Linked DNA regions of Elephas maximus indicus. The protein of the gene in region 2 purifies or fractionates together with the protein of the main gene of each other region. This does not show direct contact. Links are inferred from orthologs where the notes say so. Each region holds a gene or a part of one and is shown on either strand. Other genes may lie near its edges.

Region 1 (10,866 bases), on a different chromosome or scaffold from region 2:
TTTTATGCAGATAACACAACCTTGCTTGCTGAAAGTGAAGAGGGCTTGAAGCGCTTGCTGATGAAGATCAAAGAATACAGCCTTTGTATGGATAACACCTAAACATAAAGGAAACAAAAATCCTCACAACTGGACCAACAAGCAACATCTTGATAAACAGAAAACACTAAAGTTGTCAAGGATTACATTTTACTTGGATCCACAATCAACACTCATGGAGCAGTTGTCAAGAAATCAAACAATGCTGCATTCAGCAAATCTGCTGCAATAGACCTTTTTAAAGTATTGAGAAGCAAAGATGTCACCTTGAGGACTGAGGGGGGCTGGACTCAAGCCATGATATTTTCAATTGCCTCATAAAAAAATATAGCAACCCTATAGGACAGAGTAGACCTGCCCTATAGAGTTTCCAAGGAGCGCCTGGTGGGTTCGAACTGCCAACCCTTTGGTTAGCAGCCGTAGCACTTAGCCACTACACCACCAGGGTTTCCAATATGCATGTGAAGACTGGAAATGAGTAAGGAAGACTGAAGAATTGATGCACTTGAATTATGGTTTTGGCAAAGAATATTGAATATACCATGGACTACCAGAAGAATGAACAAATCTGTCTTGAAAGAAGTACAGCCAGAATGCTCCTAGAAGCAAGGATGACAAGACTTTGTCTCATGTACTTTGGATATGTTATCAGGAGGGCTCAGTCCCTGGAGGAGTATATCATGCTTGGTAAATGAGAGGGTCAGCAAAAAAGAGGAAGACCCTCAACCAGATGAATTGACATAGTGGCTGCAATAATTGGCTCAAACAGCAACAATTGTGATGATGTGGCAGGACAGGGCAGTGTTTCCTTCTGTTGTACACAGGGTCGATATGGGTCAGAACCCACTCAATGGTACCTAACAACAACAATAAAGTTATTCCCTGGCCATGGGATTTTTGGAAAGTCACTATTTGTAGAAGATTGGTCAGGGATAGGTGCCAAAAAAAAAAAAGTTTTGTATACGAAAAGGAGATCTGGCAGATTGGAAAATTATGAGTGCTGATGTAAAATTCAAAGAATAATGAAATGTTTTATTTACAGAAAATACTAAGTACAGTGATCTGCAAACATTGGTTCACTTAAAAGAAGCATGACACACTGGAAAAAGATAGACTCTGTCATGAGGAAAAACTGGTATCTCAATCCTGGCTCTTCCTCTTATTTGCTGTTTTACTTTGTACTTTTTACTTAACCTCTCTGAGCTTCAATTCCTTCATATGTAAATGAAGTCTAATAAAGCCTACTTCAAAAGGTGATGTGAAGACTAAGTGAAAATATCTGTCAGAGGTAAGGTGCCTAACACTATGTCTACAGCTCTCTCTTATACGACCTTGGATAAGTCAGTTACTTTTCTAGGGTCTATATTTCTGTGGAATTCGGAGATCTGCCTGGTATCATATCATTTTAGATACAAACATAAATGCATCAATAAGACTGCTCACTTCAACAGTAGGTTCAGAGAGATAATGACCAGTTCATAATTTTAGCCTACTGTATGCTATTATGTTTTTGTATCTGAACTTGCAGGTCTCAGAGAGAAAAATCAGTTGAGTTTTCTAGGTGATAAAGAGCAGCCCGTTCTCCAGTGAATTAGATGGAACCTCACTTCAAGTTACATTTCAAATGGTGCATTGCACCTGCTCATTCATCAAACTGCCAAGGGCTTATTCACTGTTTTGCCTTTTTTTCCTTTAAAACTCACCTCTTTGCAGTGCCTTGAGTTGCTCAGCTTCACAATGACAGTAACTTACATTAAGTGTTGCTTAAATAAAAGTATCTCATGTTATTAATGTATCATGTTATAAAACAACAAAACAAAACAAAAATACCCAAACCCATTGTTATCCAGTCAGTTCCAACTCATAGTTCCTATAGGGTAGACTAGAACTGCCCCACAGGGTTTCTGAGGAGTGGCTGGTGAATTTGAACTGCCAATCTTTTGGTTAGCAGCTGAGTTCTTCACGAATGCACCACCAAATGTGAGCTTTTGTTAGCCAAGTACACCACCAGTTTTCAAAGTGTACAGCATCCCTTTCAGCTCTGATCGATGTTATTTTACATTTGAATTGATTCTGCTATGCTATAAAAGACTATTATACAGAACCCACATAATTTTCTTTAGGGAGAGATTAGGATATTTACTCTTTATTTTGTGCAGTATAGGATAAGGGAACGTCAGCTTTAAATCTATGGAACTCCCTAAGCAGCTGTTGAATCTCTGCCCTCCGCCCACACTCAGCATAGAGCTATATCACTGGAAATCACTAAGCCTTCACTGAATGCAGCCTGGAAGATGGTAACACTGTTCAAGGACAGGGGAAGGAAACGGAAGGAAAAGGAAGTAAGTGGGAAAATACAGCAAACATGTGATTAACAGCTGTTCTCTTGAGTAAGCCTCCATCAGGGCTCTGCAGCTGTGTCACTGCGCTTCAATTCTGCTGATTGTACAGGGCTAAATTGGAAGACACATGGAGCAGGAAGATGTGTGGTGAAAGGTTAAAGGAAGTCCAAAATCCATGGCAACAGTATGAGGTGAATTTCCTTGCTCCATACACACTCTGTCTTGGTCTTTGCACAGTCCTCACACCCACCACCCACCCCAACCCCCATGGGAGGGGAAAGAGTCCTAAGAAACAAAGACTGCCCTTTACCAACTGGAAGTTTGGTCTGGGTTTCTGTTTTTTTTTTTTTTTTTGGTGGTGGTGGTGGTGGGGGACACAGAGGAACACCCAGCAACCCTGCATCTTCCATATTCATCTGTAGCAAAATCAATGTGCTGCATTCCTCCCAGAAGGCTTTTCAAAAACATTCAGACTACTTGTGCCTCCCCCAAATACAGAGGAGACACAGGTCTTGGGATGGTAAACTGAGTCTCCCAGAATGATAGATCTCAGGAGCATCCAAATGTGGCCCTGAAAGCCCACTTAAAGACTTCTAGTTGGCTTCCTAGTAAGTGGGTCGATTCCCAAAATATTACTGCTTGATATCACATCCTAGTTCCCAGAGGAACACAACAAAAGGGGCCAAGAGAAAGTGGGAGAAGAACATAATGACACTGTTCATTCCCCGTGTGCTCAAAAGAGTGTATTTTCTCTAAGAGTACCCCCTCAAGAAACCGAGATCCCTCTCCCTCCCCAAACCCAACGGGGTTGGCGCTCAACCTCCAAATGAGACCATCTTCTACTTCCACTTGGGAACACACAAACTATCTCACAGCAGCCCTTGTAACACACAGCCTGTTAAAACCGTTTAAAGAACGGAGCAGGTGACATAGAGCAGTTTGCAAGGTCAGGGCACTCCCTGGTGGGGGCGTCAAAGGGTGGGAGGTGCTGAGGTCAGGGTTAAACGACACTGCAAAAAGCAGTCTCCTGCCCATCTCCTTCCTTCATCTTTAGAAAGAGTCTCTAGTGAGCTCCTGCCTCTGGAAGGCTGCGCCTTTAGTGCTGCAGAGAGGCGGGGGACCGCATTTCAAAACCCCATCGCAAACACCCTACTTAAAAGAGCCAGGACCAGCCAGACTGATGAACAAAATTGCCCCAGATCGCTTGCTTCCTCTCTCTTCCTGCAGCCTCATTAGCGTTTTTCTTCTTTCCTCTACGCCCCCTTTCTCCTTTGGGGTGCAGCTCCTCTTGGAAGCCTGGAGCGCAGCCTGGGGTATATTCGTGTAGAGGTCGTAGCTTTTACCAGAAGCTGGAGTGGGAAGTCTTAACGTCCCGTCTCCTCCACTCCACCTGTCTGCCTGCCACACTGTGGCCCCTGGAAGGTAACCCCGGACCTTTGCGGCCAGGTGTGTGTCTCCTGCGCGGGGCCCGGCTCTCAGAGAGCCGGGCCGCCGGAAGGAAGCGGCTCCGGCAGCACTGCAGCCTGCGGCGGAGCGACAGGCGGGCTGCGGCAGCGGGATTGCAGCGGTGACCTCCCCGCGCCACCCGCCCGCAGGGCTCTGCCTGCCGCTCCCCCATTGTGTCTGCAGCGCTGCGGGGTGAGCCGCGCCGCCGCCGCACCCGCGCCAGCCTCTCAACCTCAGCGGGACGCGGGCGGGGGCCCGGCGCAAAGGAGGAGCAGCGAGAAGAGCCCCTAGAAGGGCACAGAGCTTCATCAATAATGCAGAGGCTCCTGGACCTCCCTGCAATACGTTTTCCAGCTAAACGCCACCAACTGGAGCGCTTTCTGGCACGTCCCACGCGTGTGGTTTTTGTGTGTGAAAGATGGGACGCAACGCGCTCATTCATCTTTCTCCTCTCTCCTTTCCTCCCTCAGACAAAGTCCCTTCTGGCATAGTTTCAAGCCCCCACCTTCTCGGGATCAGCACTGCGTTTTCCACGCAAAAAAGCTGCAGGTTGGAACGCAGGTCTTCAAAAACCTCCTTGCTTACCCAACACTAAGAGTTCAGCAAAAGTCACCCAGTAATGATCGTTTTAAAAGCCACCACTCTCATCCTCCTTGGAGAACGCTTTCAAAGTTTGGGAGCTCTGCTAGCCTTGGAGCCTGCTGGTTTCCGAGGCTCAGCTCACACCACCAACCACGGTGCGGTCAGAGACATCGAGATTGTGCTGCAAAGTTGCCCAGCCCCAACCCAGCAGGCTGCTGATGCTGGGAGCATTCCAAGAAGCAGTTTCCTTCTGTGCCTCCCCCTCCTTCCAAAATAATAATAATAATAATGATAATAATAATAATAATAAAACACTGCTGTGGAGCCCATTCCTACTCGTGGCTGTAGGGGAAGTGACCCATTTGGTTTCCAAGGAAAAAAAAAATTTTTTTTTTCTTTTTCTTATACACGGAAGCAGACAGCCACATCTGTCACATCTTTCACCCGCAGAGCTGCTGGTGGTTTCGAACCGCCGACCTTTCGATTAGCAGCCGAACACTTTAACCAGGAAGCCCAAATGCAACACAAAACCTCCTTAAACAAGGATTAAACCACTCACGCACCAGACCCAAATCCCGAAACTTCTTTGTTAAAGCAGGCTCAGCCCACCGGGAACAGACACTCTGCACAACTTGCAAGAAAATAAACAAACATCGCATCCCTGCAGGGAAACTTGTTGAATCTGGTCAGAGCGTAAAGCTGCAATTTCCCATTTAACCGGAAGGCTTTTGATTCTACCCTCCAAATATCCCCGTTGCACCAGGCACAATTCCTGGACAAACTGCGGTCTTTCCCGCACCCATTCTGCACTCCAGGACCCACTAACGTAAAACCGAGTGTGTCCCTTTCGACAATTCTAAAGCCGGCTATCACTTCGCTTACAGTCACTTGAGAGACTTACCTTTCGATTCAGACCGTTTTCAGGAACGTAGCGGCTCGGTGGTACCGGCGCAGCCTTCCAACTTTGCTGTGCACGGAAACCTTTCCGAGTTTAAGCCAAGCAAAAGCTGTCCGAGACTTTAAAACGTAAGAGGGGGCAATAGGAAGACAGCGAAGTCGGATTACTTCCCAGTATCAGCACCCTGGAAAAATCCAATCCTCCGGTAGAGAATTCTTTCAAACCCGTTATCTGTATTACTATTAATGCGCACAGCAGACGGCATTGCATACAAATAGGTCCAAGTGCGCGATTCTATTGGTGGCTGCGGAGGCCCCTGGGTCCTACCGCTCAGGCTCTGAACTACACAGCAACACTACGCACGCAGCGTTGGGGACGCGGAGGGGAAAATGGATTTAATTGATTCGTTACCTCTGGTATTGTAATGCCTGCTGCGATGTTTAACTTAACCGAGAGGGGGAAAAAAAAAACCCCTCATATTTAAACTCCTGCCATATGATCTATCATTTCATATCTGCTTGTAATTGTCTGTGTGGAGTGGCTTTGCAAATACAAAGGATTTTAAAAGCACACTTCTGAAGAAAATTCACACATACTTTTGGCAAAAAAAAACAAACAAACCTGTTTTTACTTTGTATTATAGACAAATACTTTTTCTCTTCTCTAAGTAAAATAGCTCTTAATTTTATTTTTTGCATGGCTACTCCAAATAGAACAACTTAATGAAATGACAGCAGCTAAAATATGAGTGTATAGATTGTAAAATACGGGCTGTGTTAATAAAATCCTACTAAAAATGCCATCAGTGACAATGGCATGGACGCCCATTTCTACTCTGCAAAATAAGAAATTCAGAAATATTTGTGAATATTGAGGTGTAAAAACAAATCATCAAATATACTGGCAATGTCTCATCAAATATACTGATAATGTCACAGTATGTCAAGTATTTCCTATTAATTGGCACATTTCCTTTTTACAGTTTCTCTCTTAGCAAGTCCATTACTAATGCAAATTGGCAGAAGGAGATTTAAAGTGAGGCAGGCTTGTGGTGACTGGCAATTTGAAATACTGGAACATGCAAAAAAAAAAAAGAAGCAACATTTCAGTACATCATTATTAAAGGTACCTATTTTAAAATTTTTTATTTTAAAAATTTATAATAATAACTGAATCTTAATAGATATGAATTTAAAGCCCTTAAGCATGCTGTTTCCCCAGACCTTTAATTTTCTGGAGGAAAAGAGAAGCCCTAGTGTAAACAGAAATGACGCAGACTGTACACCAAGTTCACCTAAGATATTTGTTGATATTAGAGCATAACTTTATTGTATACTATATATTACAGCATAATTGTATTGTATTTTAGATTAAGTCTTAATGGTAAATTCAAATTTAATTGCAAAATTACTATGCTGATAATTTACATCCGAACGCTGTTGGAAAGTGATACACTAAATAAGGTCAACAACAACCAACCCTGAAATTCGCCAGCCATGTGTACACTAAATAAATGAAATGCAAAATGCAAAAACACAAGAGAATTGAGATCTTATTTCAAATACATCTAGAGCATTTGAATTTATGTCGTGTGTGCTACGATCCTTCTTCATTTCCATAACTCCTTCCCTTTCCAACGCCTTCCAACCCCTTCCCTTCCCCCATCAGTAACCCTTGACAACAGAAGTGTTACTTCAAGTCCAGGTTGCCTTTGCTGCCTTCCAGACCTAACTTACAGATTGCATCTGGTGGGAAACAGAATTAACTCTTACACGACTGGAGTGTAAAAAAAGATTTTCTTCCAGGGATTGGAAAATCCAGCGTTCTCCTGTATATTTGCAAAGTTTCCACCAAACACATACTTTTGAAACATCCATGGTCACTAATTCAGAGTGAAAAGACATGATGATTTCGGATTACCATATGGATTTATTTGCTTCATTTCCCCATTGCCATTGTTTTTCCCGTAGAGGTTCTGGATTGACTTTTATTTAGTAGTATTACAATCTCTTCAGCCCAGGTTAAGAATTTTTCAATTAGCCAATAAAGTTAACATAAAAATATCAGTATATTGCTATATTGAGTGTAAGACAGTATATTTTCTGTGCAAGAAAAGAGAAATCATTTAATAGTTGGTTTTTTTTATAGTAAGTAAGTAAAGCGTAATGGTCATGCAAAGTTGAATGGAGATAATTCATATCCACTTAGAAGGAAAAAGAAGTATTCTCCTTATTGGTCTTTCAAATTTCTGTTACAAGTGGACTTGAAAAAATAATCATTAGGAGTCTAAGTGTAAGTTGAAAGTTGTGCATTTGATGAATATATTTTTGGAACTAAGAAAAGATATATTTTATCCAGGCAGATATATACAAAATTAACACAGTTTATCTATGACTATAATTTAATATGGAAGCTGAATAGATGGGCAAGTTGTGATAATGAACAAAAGAAAATAGTTAAACCGAAGCTGACTTACTAGCACAATTAACATATATTGCTAGATCAATTTTCACTTTCTGCTTAAAAGCAGGTTGTTAACTTACAGGGAACTGAACAGAATCTTAAATTTAATTTGTTTTTCTTTTTCTGAAAAAACATACTCTGTTTATATACTTGAATAAAATAGGTATGCCTATCCAATTTAGTCTCATATATTACCCAAAGACAAAATATGATTACAAATATTAAAAAATATTTTTTCTTGCTTCGTGAATACTAAGGCAAATATATTTTCAATAATAATATTGAAGCCACAATAATTTTCATGATTTCTAGGTCTGTAGGAATACCCTGGATCTATTCTTTCTTATTTGAAGTATTATTGGCCCTCTCATTTTGTCGGTGGAGTTTTCAAGGACAATATATGCTATGTCAGAAACTGATTTCCATTATGTCCTTGGATCATGATGACAGTGCCTTATTGTGGCTAATGTGAACATCTATAAAAGTTGGAAAGCAAAACATACCTGACACATTCTAGGATGCCATTACTGTAATCAGCTTACTTTCTAAATTTAGATAGGTAAACATGTAATAACGTACACTTTGGGGAAATTAAATAAACGCTAGTAACATCCAGCTACTCTCCAAACTATTTTAAAAATTCTCTTTAATAATGTTAAAATACTTATAAGTTAGGAAATCCTAAAGCTATAGGCATTAATCTATTAATCTGCTCACCTATGTTTGATTCTTGACAGATGAACAAGAAAATTAACAAACAAATTATTATATTTTTCAAAGTAGAAGTATAATACAAAGGATATGGCTAAACAGGCAATTTTTTTTTTCAGAGTTCCAAATTCAGTAAATCTGAAGTCAATGGCAGTATTTATGCTAATTTGTAATATTTATACCAATATTTGTATCAATTCAGAATCCAGTACATATAGTATATCAGTAGTAAGCAACAATATTTATACCAATCTTGCTAACTTGGAAGCTGTTAAATGAAGTGCTAAAATGCCCTCTGAATGGTTTAGGAATTTGCAAGAGATCATATTTAAGATTGTGGCTTAACAACCAATTTTGATGAATTGCTGAATCAAGTGAAGAAAGTACAACTCAAAAGTTAGAAATTAATCTGTATAAGATAATAAGTTTGAGGCAAAATATGGAATTTAAAGAAGATGAACTAAATTTGACACTATCTGGAAAAGATGTGAAATTCATGGTATGGTGACTTTAGTCAGATGATAATCGTGAATGGAATGCTCATAATATTTAAAATTCTAATTTAAAAAACAGCAAGAAAGGAGGTATGGAGGAGGATATTTTACTCTGTATCAAACAGGATTGTGAAGCAAGCAAGTTAAAAGTTGGCAATAAATATGAAGAAGTGGGATGCTTTGGCAAAAGATGAAAGAACAAACAACAACAAAAATGAGAAATGGAGAGGCATCTGTTATAACCCTTTGATATTAAGAAAAGCGTGAATCATCAATCTTTAATTCAAATACTAGGTTCTTAAGATTTTGACCTGTTCTCCTAAGAAGTTTTAGAATAAAGGACCCATATTCTTGTTTTTTTTTTTTTTTTAAAGTACATAAAAATGCTTATAAAATGTCAATTTTTGAATTAAAGCAAACAAATGCATATATATAAAACGAAGCCACCACTTTGTTGTATCAACAGATGGATGCAGCACTGGAAGTGCTTACTTGTCTATGTCAAAAAAATTAGGAAGACAGCTACCTGGCCAACTGACTGGAAGAAATCTATATTTATGCCTATTTCCAAGAAAAGTGATCTCTCTGAATGCAGAACTTATAGGGCAATATAATTAATATCACACACAAGTAAAATTTTGCTGAAGATCATTCAAAAGTGGCTGCAGCAGTGTATTGACAGGGAACTGCCAGAAATTCAAGCCAGATTCAGAAGTTTCCTGGGGAAACCGTGCATAGATCAAGAGGCAGTCGTTCGAAAAGAACAAGGGGATACTGCATGGTTTAGAGTCAGGAAAGGTGTGTGTCAAGATTGCATCCTTTCACCATACCTATTCAGTCTGTATACTGAACAAATAAACAGAGAAGCTAGACTATATGAAGAAGGAGGCATCAGGATTGAAGGAAGACCCACTAACAACCTGAGTTATGCAGATGACACAACCTCACTTGCTGAAAGTGAAGAGGACTTGAAGCACTTAATTGATGAAGATCAAAGACCACAGCCTTCAGTATGGATTATACCTCAACATAAAAAAAACAAAAACCCTCACAACTGGACCAATAAGCAACATCATGATAAATGGGGAAAGGATTGAAGTTGCCAAGAATTTCATTTTACTTGGATACACAATCAACACCCATGGAAGCAGCAATCAAGACATCAAAAAGATGCATTGCATTGGGCAAATCTGGTGCAGAAGACCTCTTTAAAGTGTTGAAAAGCAAAGATGTCACCTCGAAGACTAAGGTGGGCCTGACCCAAGCCATGGTGTTTTCAACTGCCTTCCATGTATGTGAAGCCCGGATGATGAATAAAGAAGACCAAAGAAGAATTGATGTCTTTCAATTGTGATGTTGGAGAAGAATATTGAATATACCCATGGACTGCCAAAAGAACGAACAAATCTGTCTCAGAAGAAATACAACCAGAATGCTCCTTAGACGCAAGGATGGCAAAACTATGCCTCACATTCTTTGGACATGTTGTCCGGAGGGATCATTCCCTGGAGAAGGACGTCATGCTTGGTAAAGTAGAGGGTCATCAAAAAAGAGGAAGACCCTCAATGAGATGGATTGACACAATGGGTACAACAATGGGCTTAAGCTTAACAAGGATTGTGAAGATGGTGCAGGACTGGGCAGTGTTTCGTTCTGTTGTACATAGGATCACTGTGAGTCGGAAGTGACTCAATGGCACCTAACAACAACGTGTCACCACTGCTGCTGCTTAATGGAGGTTACACATATGATCAATATGCTGTATGTTTGTTATACCAAAGTTAATGGTTGATCTAGTGGTTTGACCTTCCAACAAGACAACTGGTTAGACTAAGGAAAAGTTTGCTAACCAGTATCTAACATATTTAAAAGCATATTCAGTTTCTTTTAA
Region 2 (11,242 bases):
CTTTTTGTGGTTGAGTTTTGACAGAATCATATAGATTTTAGAGATCAGGCGCTGGTCGAAGATGTCATAGCTGAAAATTCTCTCCCAGTCTGTAGGTGGTCTTTTTACTCTTTTGGTGAAGTCTTTAGATGAGCATAGGTGTTTGATTTTTAGGAGCTCCCAGTTATCTGGTTTCTCTTCGTCATTTTTGGGAATGTTTTGTATTCTGTTTATGCCTTGTACTAGGGCTCCTAAGGTTGCCCCTATTTTTTCTTCCATGATCTTTATCGTTTTAGTCTTTATGTTTAGGTCTTTGATCCACTCGGAGTTAGTTTTTGTGCATGGTGTGAGGTATGGGTCCTGTTCCATTTTTTTGCAAATGGATATCCAGTTATGCCAGCACCATTTGTTAAAAAGACTATCTTTTCCCCAATTAACTGACCCTGGGCCTTTGTCAAATATCAGCTGCTGATATGTGGATGGATTTATATCTGGGTTCTCAATTCTGTTCCATTGGTCTGTGTCTGTTGTTGTACCAGTACCAGGCTGTTTTGACTACTGTGGCTGTATAATAGGTTCTGAAATCAGGTAGAGTGAGGCCTCCCACTTTCTTCTTCTTTTTCAGTAATGCTTTACTTATCCGAGGCTTCTTTCCCTTCCATATGAAGTTGGTGATTTGTTTCCCCATCACATTAAAAAATGACATTGGAATTTGGATTGGAAGTGCATTGTATGTATAGATGGCTTTTGGTAGAATAGACATTTTTACTATGTTAAGTCTTCCTATCCACGAGCAAGGTATGTTTTTCCACTTAAGTAGGTCCTTTTTAGTTTCTTGTAGTAGTACTTTGTAGTTTTCTTTGTATAGGTCTTTTACATCTTTGGTAAGATTTATTCCTAAGTATTTTATCTTCTTGGTGGCTACTGTGAATGGTATTGATTTGGTTATTTCCTCTTCGTTGTTCTTTTTGTTGATGTAGAGGAATCCAAGTGATTTCTGTATGTTTATCTTATAATCTGAGACTCTACCAAACTCTTCTATTAGTTTCAGTAGTTTTCTGGAGGATTCCTTAGGGTTTTCTGTGTATAAGATCATGTCATCTGCAAATAGAGATAATTTTACTTCCTCCTTGCCAATCCAGATGCCCTTTATTTCTTTGTCTAGCCTAATTGCTCTGGCTAGGACCTCTAGCACAATGTTGAATAAGAGCGGTGATAAAGTGCATCCTTGTCTGGTTCCCGTTCTCAAGGGAAATGCTTTCAGGCTCTCTCCATTTAGAGTGATGTTGGCTGTTGGCTTTGTATAGATGCCCTTTATTATGTTGAGGAATTTTCCTTCGATTCCTATTTTGGTGAGAGTTTTTATCATAATTGGGTGTTGGACTTTGTCAAATGCCTTTTCTGCATCAATTGATAAGATCAACCACATATAGACTTTTGAAAAGAGTTTAAAAACTCAAGAAGTAAAGCTGTTATTTATTCCTTTCTTTATTATAAATGACATTTCATAGTTATCACCAAAAATCTTTCACCATTTTATACACTTCGCCTTCTTGCAAGGAGTCCAGGGCCTGTTAAATGTTATAGTTCACACTGCTCCAAGATCTTAAATCTATCTGCATTCCATTTTATTTCAAAGGCTGCCTCACCAAAATTATTTCAGGATTTAAGAAAATTCTGATCCTTACACAGTCTCCAAAGGCTTTTGTCAGGGAGGGAAAGACTTTACTTCTTGGCATACCTAACTCAGATGACTGCCGTGAGAATGAAATACGATTATATGTGAAAGGTCATTGAAAATTCCAATGGTAATACATAAATATAAGAATCATCACCTCTTGAACTCTGAATTTCAGGTATTTAAAATGATCTAGTTACTACTATCTAAAGCCATTAAACTATGCTGTTATATAAAAAAAGATTTGCTTGTTGATAGGTTATAAAAAACTCCAATGACCACCAACTCTATCTGAAGCAAGGGAGAATTAAAAAAACAAAAGACACAAAGGAAAGACTAGTCCAAAGGACTAACGGGCAACAACTACCACAGCCTTCACCAGACTGAGTCCAGCACAACTAGATGGTGCTACGACTACCAACTGCTCTGACAGGGATCACAATAGAAGGTTTCCAACAAAAATACAGAAAAATGTAGAATAAAACTCTAATTCACAAAAAATGACCAGACTTACTGGTCTGACAGAGACTGGAGAAACCCCTGGACACCCTTTTAACTCAGTACTGAAGTCACTCCTGAGGCTCACCCTTCAGCCACAGATGAAACAGGCCTATATAACAAACAGTAACACATGCAGCTCAACCACATATATGAGACTAAATGGGCACACCAGCCCAGGGGAAATGACAAGAAGGCAAGAGAGGGCGGGAAAGCCATATGAATGAAAATGGAAAACCCGAGGCTGAGAAGAGGAAAGGGTTAACATGTCACGGGGTTGGCAACCAATGTCACAAAACAATATGTGTATTAATTGTTTAATGAGAAACTAACTTGCTCTGTAAACTTTTACCTAAAAAAAAGCACAATTAAAAAAAAATTCAATAACCAGAAAATTAGCAATAAATTACATAAAAAATAAGAAGCAATATACTATGCCTGTTGCAAGCAGCAGGAGGTCAAATATTTCATCCCTGTAGTATTTTTTGTACTGTCCTTTTTTTCAATCCTACCAAAGTAGATGAAATAACAGAAAGCTTCTAGGATAGTGTAACTACTGTTGTGTTGTTAGGTGCCATCGAGTCAGTTTTGACTCGATGTACAACAGAACAAAACACTGCCAGGTCCTGTACCATCCTCACAACCACTGCCCACTGTTGCAGCCACTATGTCAATCCATCTTGTTGAGTGCCTTCCTCATTTTTGCTGACCCTATACTTTACTAATCATGATGATCTTCTCCAGGACTGGTCCCTCCTGATAACATGTCCGAACTACATGAAATGAAGTCTCGCCATCCTCCCCTCTAAGGAGTACTCTGGCTGTACTTCTTCCAAGACAGATTTGTTTGTTCTGGCAGTGCATAGTATATTCAACATTCTTTGTGAACACCAGAATTCAGAGGCATCAATTCTTCAGTCTTTCTTATTCATTGTCCAGGGTTCACATGCAATATGTCAGTATTCCTCCAATCCTGATGTCATGTTCCTCTTCGTATAGTCCAGCTTCTCAGATTATTACTATAACCTTTTTCTTAAAATCAGTATTGTCGTTCAATAAGATTTCTACTATTATCCTTACGTGTATTAATAGGGTGAATTCACTGACGATATTTATATTAGCTTTAAATCAAATAGCCTATTACAACAATTTGGTCAGACTTTCCAGGTGATACAAGCGTTCTGTCTAAACCAGAAATAACTTGGACTGCCTCATCACTTTTCAAAACGGATTTTTCTTAAAGGAAAAATAATCTGATTAAACTACGGAACTGTAAAATCCCACGTATTTACTAAGCAAGAAACCGGGGGATCCTTGAGGTAAAATTCATTCTCAATTTAGAATCTATGTTCCTGCCAGGGTGTCCCCCACTGGCTCAATTTTCCAGGCGTAACAGCGATTATATGAGAATATAAACTCTAAAAATACTTAAGTTGAGTGCAAAACACCTAGAAGAATTTCGTCCAATAGCTCAACTTGCACCTTGTAAAATATACATATGAAGAATGTTTTAGAGTTAAGAAACATCTATGAGTAAAGGTTTGGGAAACCACGCACTATGGAAATTTGACCCAAACAAAAGCTGCAGATAAACAGACGGTAAGCGGTAACCTTTGAAACAGTATCAAATATCGGTGGAAGAAAAAATTCCAGGGACAATGACACCCTGGCTTTCCCGTTCATAACAATGAGTAACAGGGCCGCACCATACGGTACGGCGACCCCAACTGCGCCACAAAGCGAAACTGAACCAAGGAGCTGGCGCGCTGCGGGACTTTCAGGAGCCGGTGCCCACCAAGGGAGGCTGGCGACCCGGATACGGGAGACAGAGGAAGGGAGCGTAGCCCCTCTCCCGGGCTCGCCTCACCCCTCCCGCCTCATGCTTCACAGGGAAGCGTCCCCTCCAGATCCTTCCTCAAATCAACCGCGGGTTCGAGTCCTGCCCTGACCCCCGGAGTGGAGGCCACCGGCTCAACCCTGCTAGGCAGGGCACTGAGGAGCCCAGGCCTCCTTCCCGACCGCACCGCCCCGCCTCTCCGGACTAAGAATGAGAGGCCGCGGCACCAGCCGCAGCCTCCGGAGCAAGAACCTAGACCGGCCGCCGGTGGCTGGCGAGACGCCCTTCGGCCCCACGCCCCTCCCAGCACCGCCGCGCTCACCTCCACGGCCTTCCCCGCGGGCCCCGCCTGCGCAGTCAACAGTGGCCTGCGGCCGCTCCCCGACGAGCTCTTCTTTTCCTCTATAGCCTAGGAAAGGAGCGGCGTCACGTCCAGCGGGGCCTCCGCAGCCCTACCCGCGGGGTCCCCACCTCCCGAACCCTCCACTTCCCGCAGCAGCAGCCGCTCCTTCCGGTGCCTCCCGGTTCGCTGCAGGCGTCTCGGGCGCCGCGGGAGGGCGGGAAGGGGCGGAGCTTCTGGGAGAGCCCGACCCAGGGGCGGGGCTGCGGGCAACGAGCCGGGACCAGGTGCTGAGACTCAGGCCGCCTTTGCAGCTGGTACTTCAAAGGTAGCTTAGCTGCCTGTACAGGGAGCATGTACGTGCGAAGCAGTTTATGACTCTAGACATTTTTCGCTTTTACACGCTTTGGCTCCCTCTTCCGCAGTCACACTACAGCCGTTACAAGGCCTTGTTTCCGTGCATTGCACAAACCAGCATTAAGGGCCTCAGGTTTCCGACCTTATGCAAAGAAATATTAGATTTCAGTTAATTCAGTACTCTCCTCTCCTTTTTCTTAACCCAATTTCTTAGCACCTGGAATCTCTGGAGGCAATTGTGTTTCCCCCTTTTTACATCTGCAAAGAAGGAATTCATCTCTACCAGTTTCTTCTAAGCCAAAATAAAAAAGATCAAATATTTATTGAAACGCGAGTATTTGCCCAGTGCCTAGAGGATTAAGAGAGACTTGACTTCCAATTCATGTGATTGTTAGATTCATTCCATTGCTTGTTTAATAAATGATAACAAAAACAGTTAAATTAATAACAATTGTTAAACGTTACCAGTTCCAATCTGTCCTATCACCTCTAAATTTTTGGTCTCCAGTATGGGGATCATGTACTCAAATGTTGTTTCAGATGCTCAGTCTCCATCAGGAACAGGTAGGAAATAATGGAGCTTCTGATTAAATTTTTTTAGGATAAAAAGAGACAAAGGAATGATCATTAAAATAATTTCCTTCCTGGTGTCTTGTGGCAACAGGACACCCCCGATATATGCTGCAGCATCTCTTTCCACCATGCGTCTGTCAGTTTGTCTTCCTGTGGTGGCTTGCGTATTGCTGTGATGCTGTAAGCTATGCCACCACTATTTCATGTACCAGCAGGGCCACCCATGATGGACAGGTTTCAGCAGAGCTTACAAACTAAGACAGACTAAGAAGAAGGACCTGACAATTTACTTCTAAAAAACTGGCCACTGAAAATCTTATGAATAGCACCAAAACATTATAATGTGGGAAGATGAGCCCCTCAGGTTGGAAGGCACTCAAAAAAAAAAATATGACTGGGGAAGAGTTGCTGCCTCAGAATAGAGCTGACGTTAATAATGTGGATGCAGTAAAGCTTTCAGGGCCTTCACTCGCTGATGTAGCACCACTCAAAGTGAGAAAACACAGCTGCAAACGTCCACTAATAATCAGAACATGAATGTACGAAGTACGAATCTAGCAAAATTAGAAGTTCTACAAAAATGAAATGGAACACTTGAAAATAGATATCCTAGGCATTAGTGAGCTGAAGAAGACTGGTACTGGCCATTTTGAATCAGATAATCATATGGCCTACTATGCTGGGAATGACAAACTGAAGAGGAAGGGGGCTTCATGTTCATCATCAAAAAGAGCATTTCAAGATCTAACCTGAAGTACAACACTGGTAATACCCATACACCTACAAGGAAGACCAGTTAATACGACTATTGTTCAAATTTATGCACCAAACATGAATGCCAAAAGATGAAGAAATTGGAGATTTTTACCAACTTCCGCAGTCTGAAATTGATCCAACATACAATCAATATACAGTGATAATTACTGGCAATTGCAATGCAAAAGTTGGAAACGAAGAAGGAGGATCAGAAGTTGCAAAATATAGCCTTGGTGATAGAAATGACACTGAAGTTTGCATGAAAGAATTTTTCAAGACCAATGACCTGTTCTTTGGAAATACCTGTTTGAACCAACATAAGCAGCGACTATACGTATGGTCCTCACCAGATGGAATACATAGGAATCAAATCGACTACATTTGTGGGAAGAGACAAGGGAAAAGCTCAATATCGTCGGTAAGAGCAAGGCCAGGGGCCAACTCCAGAACATACCATCAATTGCTCATGTGCAAGTTCAAGTTGAAGCTGAAGAAAATTAAAACAAGTCCACAAGAGCCAAAGTATAACCTTGAATATATCCCACCTGAATTTAGAGACCATATCAAATATAGATTTGAGGCATTGAGCACTAATGACTTAAGACGAGATGAATTGTGGGATGACATGAAGGACATCATACATGAAGAAAGCAAAGGTCATTAAAAAGACAGGAAAGAAAGAAAAGACAAAAATGGATGTCAGAAGAGACTCTGAAACTTACTCTTGAATGTAGAGTAGCTAAAGAAAATGGAAGAAATAATGTACAGAGGATTTCAAAGGGCACCACAAGAAGACAAAGTAAAGTATTATAATGAAATGTGCAAAGACCTGGAGTTAGAAAACCAGAAGAGAGAAACACACTTGACATTTATGCAACTGAAAGAATGGAAGAAAAAATTCAGGCCTCAGTAGCAATATTGAAGGATTCTATGGACAAAATATTGAACGACACAGGAAGCATCAAAAGAAGATGGAAGGATCCCGCTTTGGTGAGTGGTGTCTTGGGTCTTTAACTGTAGCAAGTGGCCATCTAAGATACATCAATTGGTCTCAACTCATTTAGAGCAAAGGAGAACGAAGAACACCAAAGACATAAGGTAAAGATGAGCCCAAGAGACAGAAAGGGTCACATAAACCAGAGATTACATCAGCCTGAGACTGGAAGAACTAGATGGTACCTGGCTACCACTGATGACTGCCCTGACAGGGAACACAACAGAGAGCCCCTGAGGAAGCAGGAAAGCAGTGGGATGCAGACTCCAAATTCTCATGAAAAGACCAGACTTAATGGTCTGACTGAGACTAGAGGGAACCCGGAGGTAATGGCCTCCTGGACCCCTTGTTAGCCCAAGACCGGAACCATTCCCAAAGCCAACTCTTCAGACAGTGGACGATAAGACAGAAAATGATACTGGTGAGAAGTGAGCTTCTTGGCTCAAGTAGACACATGAGACTATGTGGGCAACTCTTGTCTGGAGGTGACAGGAGAAGGCATAGTGGGACAAAAGCTGGTTGAATGGACATGGGGAATACAGAGTAGAGAGGAGTGTGCTGTTTCATTACAGGGAGAGCAACTAGGAGTGCATAGCAAGGTATGCATGAGTTTTTGTATGAGAAACTGACTTGATTTGTAAACTTTCACTTAAAGCACAATAAATAAATTAGAAAAAAAGACGGAAGGAATACCCAGAGCCACTGTACCAGAAATAACTGGTTGAAATTCCACCATTTCAGAGGCAAGCATATGATCAAGAACCAATGATATTGAAGCGTTCTAATCTGCACTGAAGGCGTTGGCAAAAAACAAGGCACTCAATACCAATTGAGAAGTTCCAATGAACGAATGCAACACTGGAAGTACTCATTCATCTTTGTTAAGAAATTTGGAAGACAGCTACCTGGCCAACTGACTGGAAGAGATCCATATTTGCACCTGTCCCAAAGGAAGGTGACACAACAGAATGCGGAGATTACCGAATACTGTCATTACTATCACATGGAAGTAAAGTTTCTCTGAAGATCATTCAAAAGCAGTTACAGCAGTACCAAAACAGGGAACTGCCAGAAATTCACACCAGATTCAAAGAGGACGAGGAACCAGGCAAAGCATTGCTGATGTCAGATGAATCTGTGCTGAAACCAGAGAATACCAGAAAGATGTTTACTTGTATTTTGTTGACTATGCCAAAGCCTTCGACTGTATGGATCATAACAAATTATGGATAACATTGCAAAGAATGGGAATTTCAAAACACTTAATTGTGCTCATGGGGAACTTGCATATAGGCCAACAGAACAATGGGATACTGTGTGGTTTAAAATCAGGAAAGGTGTGAGTCAGGGTTGTATCGTTTTACCATACTTAATCTGCATGCTGAGAAGCTGGACTATACGAAAAAGAACACAGCATCAAGATTAGAGAAAGGTTTATTAACAGCCAGAGATATGTAGATGATACAATATTGCTTGCTGAAAGTAAAGAGAACTTGAAGCACTTACTGATGAAGATTAAAGACTATAGCCTTTAATATGGATTATACTTCTACATAATGAAAACAAAACTCCTCAGTACTGGACCAATAAGCAACATCATGATAAACGGTGAAAATATTGACGTGATCAAGAATTTTATTTTACTTAAATCCACAATCAACGCCCGTGGAAACAGCAGTCAAGAAATCAAATGACTTATTGCACTGGGCACATTTACTGTAAAAAAAATCTCTTTAAAGTGTTAAAAAGCAAAGATGTCACTGTAAGGACTAAGATGCACCTGACCCAAGCCATGGTATTTTCAGTTGCTTCATATGCGTGGGAAAGCTGTACAAGGAGTAAGGAAGACCAAAGAAGAATTGATGCGTTTGAATTATGGTGTTGGTGAAAAATGTTGAATATATAGGCAGTCCCTGAGTTAGGGACTTCTGACTTAAGGACAACTCGGACTTGCCCTTTAATGTAATGTAAATTTGCCCTCACTTTGAAAACCATTGAACCAGCCTCTGCTCACAACAAATTCTTCATCACAATCACCTTCGAGGCTGCATGTGCACCTTTTAAGTCACTGAAAACTCTGAAATTTTTCTTGGCATCAACCATTTGTCTTAATTATCTGGTGTTTCTATAACAGAAATATCATAAATAGGTGACTTTAACAAACAGAAAATTATTTTGTCACCATTTAAGAGGCTAGAAGTCCAAAGTCGGAGCGCCAGCTCTAGGGGAAGAATTTCTCTCTCTATTGGCCATGGAGAAGGTCCTCGTCTCTTCTGAGCGTCTATTCTGGGGCAATGTTCATGTGGCTTGGAATCTCTTTTCCTCCATTTATGCTTACTAGCTTGCATTTAATATCTTTTATATCTCGAAAGAGATTGACTCGAGGTTCACCCTACATTAATCCTTCCTCATTAACATACCGACCTCATTAACCTCGTTAACATACTGACGTGGGTTGACAAAGACAACCCATTCCCAAATGCGATTATAACCACGCTCATAAAAAAAAAAAAAAAAAAAGAGGTTAGGAATTGCAACACATATTTTGAGGAAACAGAGTTCAATCCACCCTTAAAAACTGAGAAGACCCTGCTTCCTGTGCTCCTTCTAACAGTTCTGCTGCTCTCCAACTGCTTCAGGGATGGTCCTTTCCTTTCTTGGAGGACAACAGACAGCTCCTTTGGCCTGTTTTCTTGCCTGTAGAATTCCAAGAAGCTGACAGCATTCTTTACTTTCATTCTTTCTCTGCCCACTTCAATCTAAGCTGATGGATTTTCTGCTGTGGTAGTTGGTTAGGTACACCTGTCACAGGCTTAATCTCTTTTATAGTTTTCCTTGGTGAACATTCTAGGACGTGTGTCCTTAGTTTGTACAACAGAATTCTCCAAATCTTTAAATTCTGTTTTCATTTTGCACAGTTCAGTTTTAAGTCTCTTTCCTTTCACACTTTACTATAAGAAGCAAGGACAACCCATGCGGTTCCTTTAAGACCTTGCTTAGAAATCTCCTTAACCAAATATCCAAGTTCATCACTTACAACTTCTACCTTCCTCCAAACATTTGAACATAATTCAGACAAATTCTTTGCCATTACATGAGAAGCATCACTCTTCTTCCGTTGTCCAATCCCATGTTCGTCATTTTCTTTTATAGACTCACCTGAAGCACGTTAACATCCACGTGTCTAGCAACATTCTGTTGCTGGTGCTATATGTATTCCGTAAGACAATGGGGGCTTTCTCTGCAACTCTCCTCAGTTCCTTCTGAGCTATCACTGGAATTGCTTTTGACGTCCGTAATTATACCAACAGACTCTTTAAAGCAATCTAGGCCTTTACTATTGTTGTTTAGGTGCTATCAAGTGAGTTCCAACTCATGGCGACCCTGTGTACAACAGAATGGAACACTGCAGCATCCTCATAATAGCTGTTAGGTTTGAACCCGTTGTTGCAGCCACTGTAGTCAATCCATCTCGTCCAGGGACTTCCTTTTTTTCCACTGACTCTCTGTCTTACCAAACATGATGTCCCTCTCCAAGGACTGGTCCCTCCTGATAATATGTTCAAAGTATGTGAGATCTCACTTCCAAGGAGTGCTCTGGGTGTATTTCTTCTGATACAGACTTGTTTGCTCTTCTGGCAGTCCATGGCATCATCCATATTCTTTACCAAGACCGTAATTCAAAAACATCAATTCTTCCGCGGTCTGTCATATTCATTGTCCAGCTTTTGCATACGTATGAGGCGATATGACCTGGGACAGGTGCACCTTAGTCCTCAAAGTGACATATTTGCTTTTCAACACTTTAAAGAGGTCTTTTGCAGTAGGTTCGCCTAATGCAATATGTCATTTGGTTTCTTGACTACTTCCATGGGTGTTGATTGTGTAATATGAAATCCTTGACAACTTCAGCCTTTTTTCTATTTATGTTTGTTGGTCCAGTTGTAAGGATTTTTGTTTTCTTTATGTTGAGGTGTGATCCATACTGAAGGCTGTAGTCTTTGATTTTTATCACTAAGTGCTTCAAGTCCTTTTCACTTTCAGCAAGCAAGGTTGTTTCACCTGCATAACACAGGTTGTTAATGATTCTTCCACCAATACTGATGCCTCGTTCTTCTTCATATAGTCCAGCTTCCTGAATTTTTTGCTCAGTATACATTTTGAATAAAAATGATGAAAGGATGCAACCCTGACACACACCCTTCTTGACTTTAAACTACACAGTATCCC

Evidence for each region.
Region 1: the proteins of USP33 (region 2) and ROBO1 purify together in Homo sapiens (affinity purification with western blotting; 5 studies listed by BioGRID and IntAct, with this or other methods). This does not show direct contact. The link is inferred for Elephas maximus indicus from reciprocal best matches to the Homo sapiens genes USP33 and ROBO1.

What each region holds. Positions count from the first base shown.
Region 1 is NC_064836.1:51,768,423-51,779,288, forward strand, and holds the start of ROBO1 (roundabout homolog 1), read right to left. Parts: upstream 5,539-10,866; 5' UTR 5,311-5,538; intron 1-5,310. UniProt on the Homo sapiens protein: Receptor for SLIT1 and SLIT2 that mediates cellular responses to molecular guidance cues in cellular migration, including axonal navigation at the ventral midline of the neural tube and projection of axons to different regions during neuronal development.
Region 2 is NC_064821.1:125,660,519-125,671,760, forward strand, and holds the start of USP33 (ubiquitin carboxyl-terminal hydrolase 33), read right to left. Parts: upstream 4,538-11,242; 5' UTR 4,315-4,537; intron 1-4,314. UniProt on the Homo sapiens protein: Deubiquitinating enzyme involved in various processes such as centrosome duplication, cellular migration and beta-2 adrenergic receptor/ADRB2 recycling.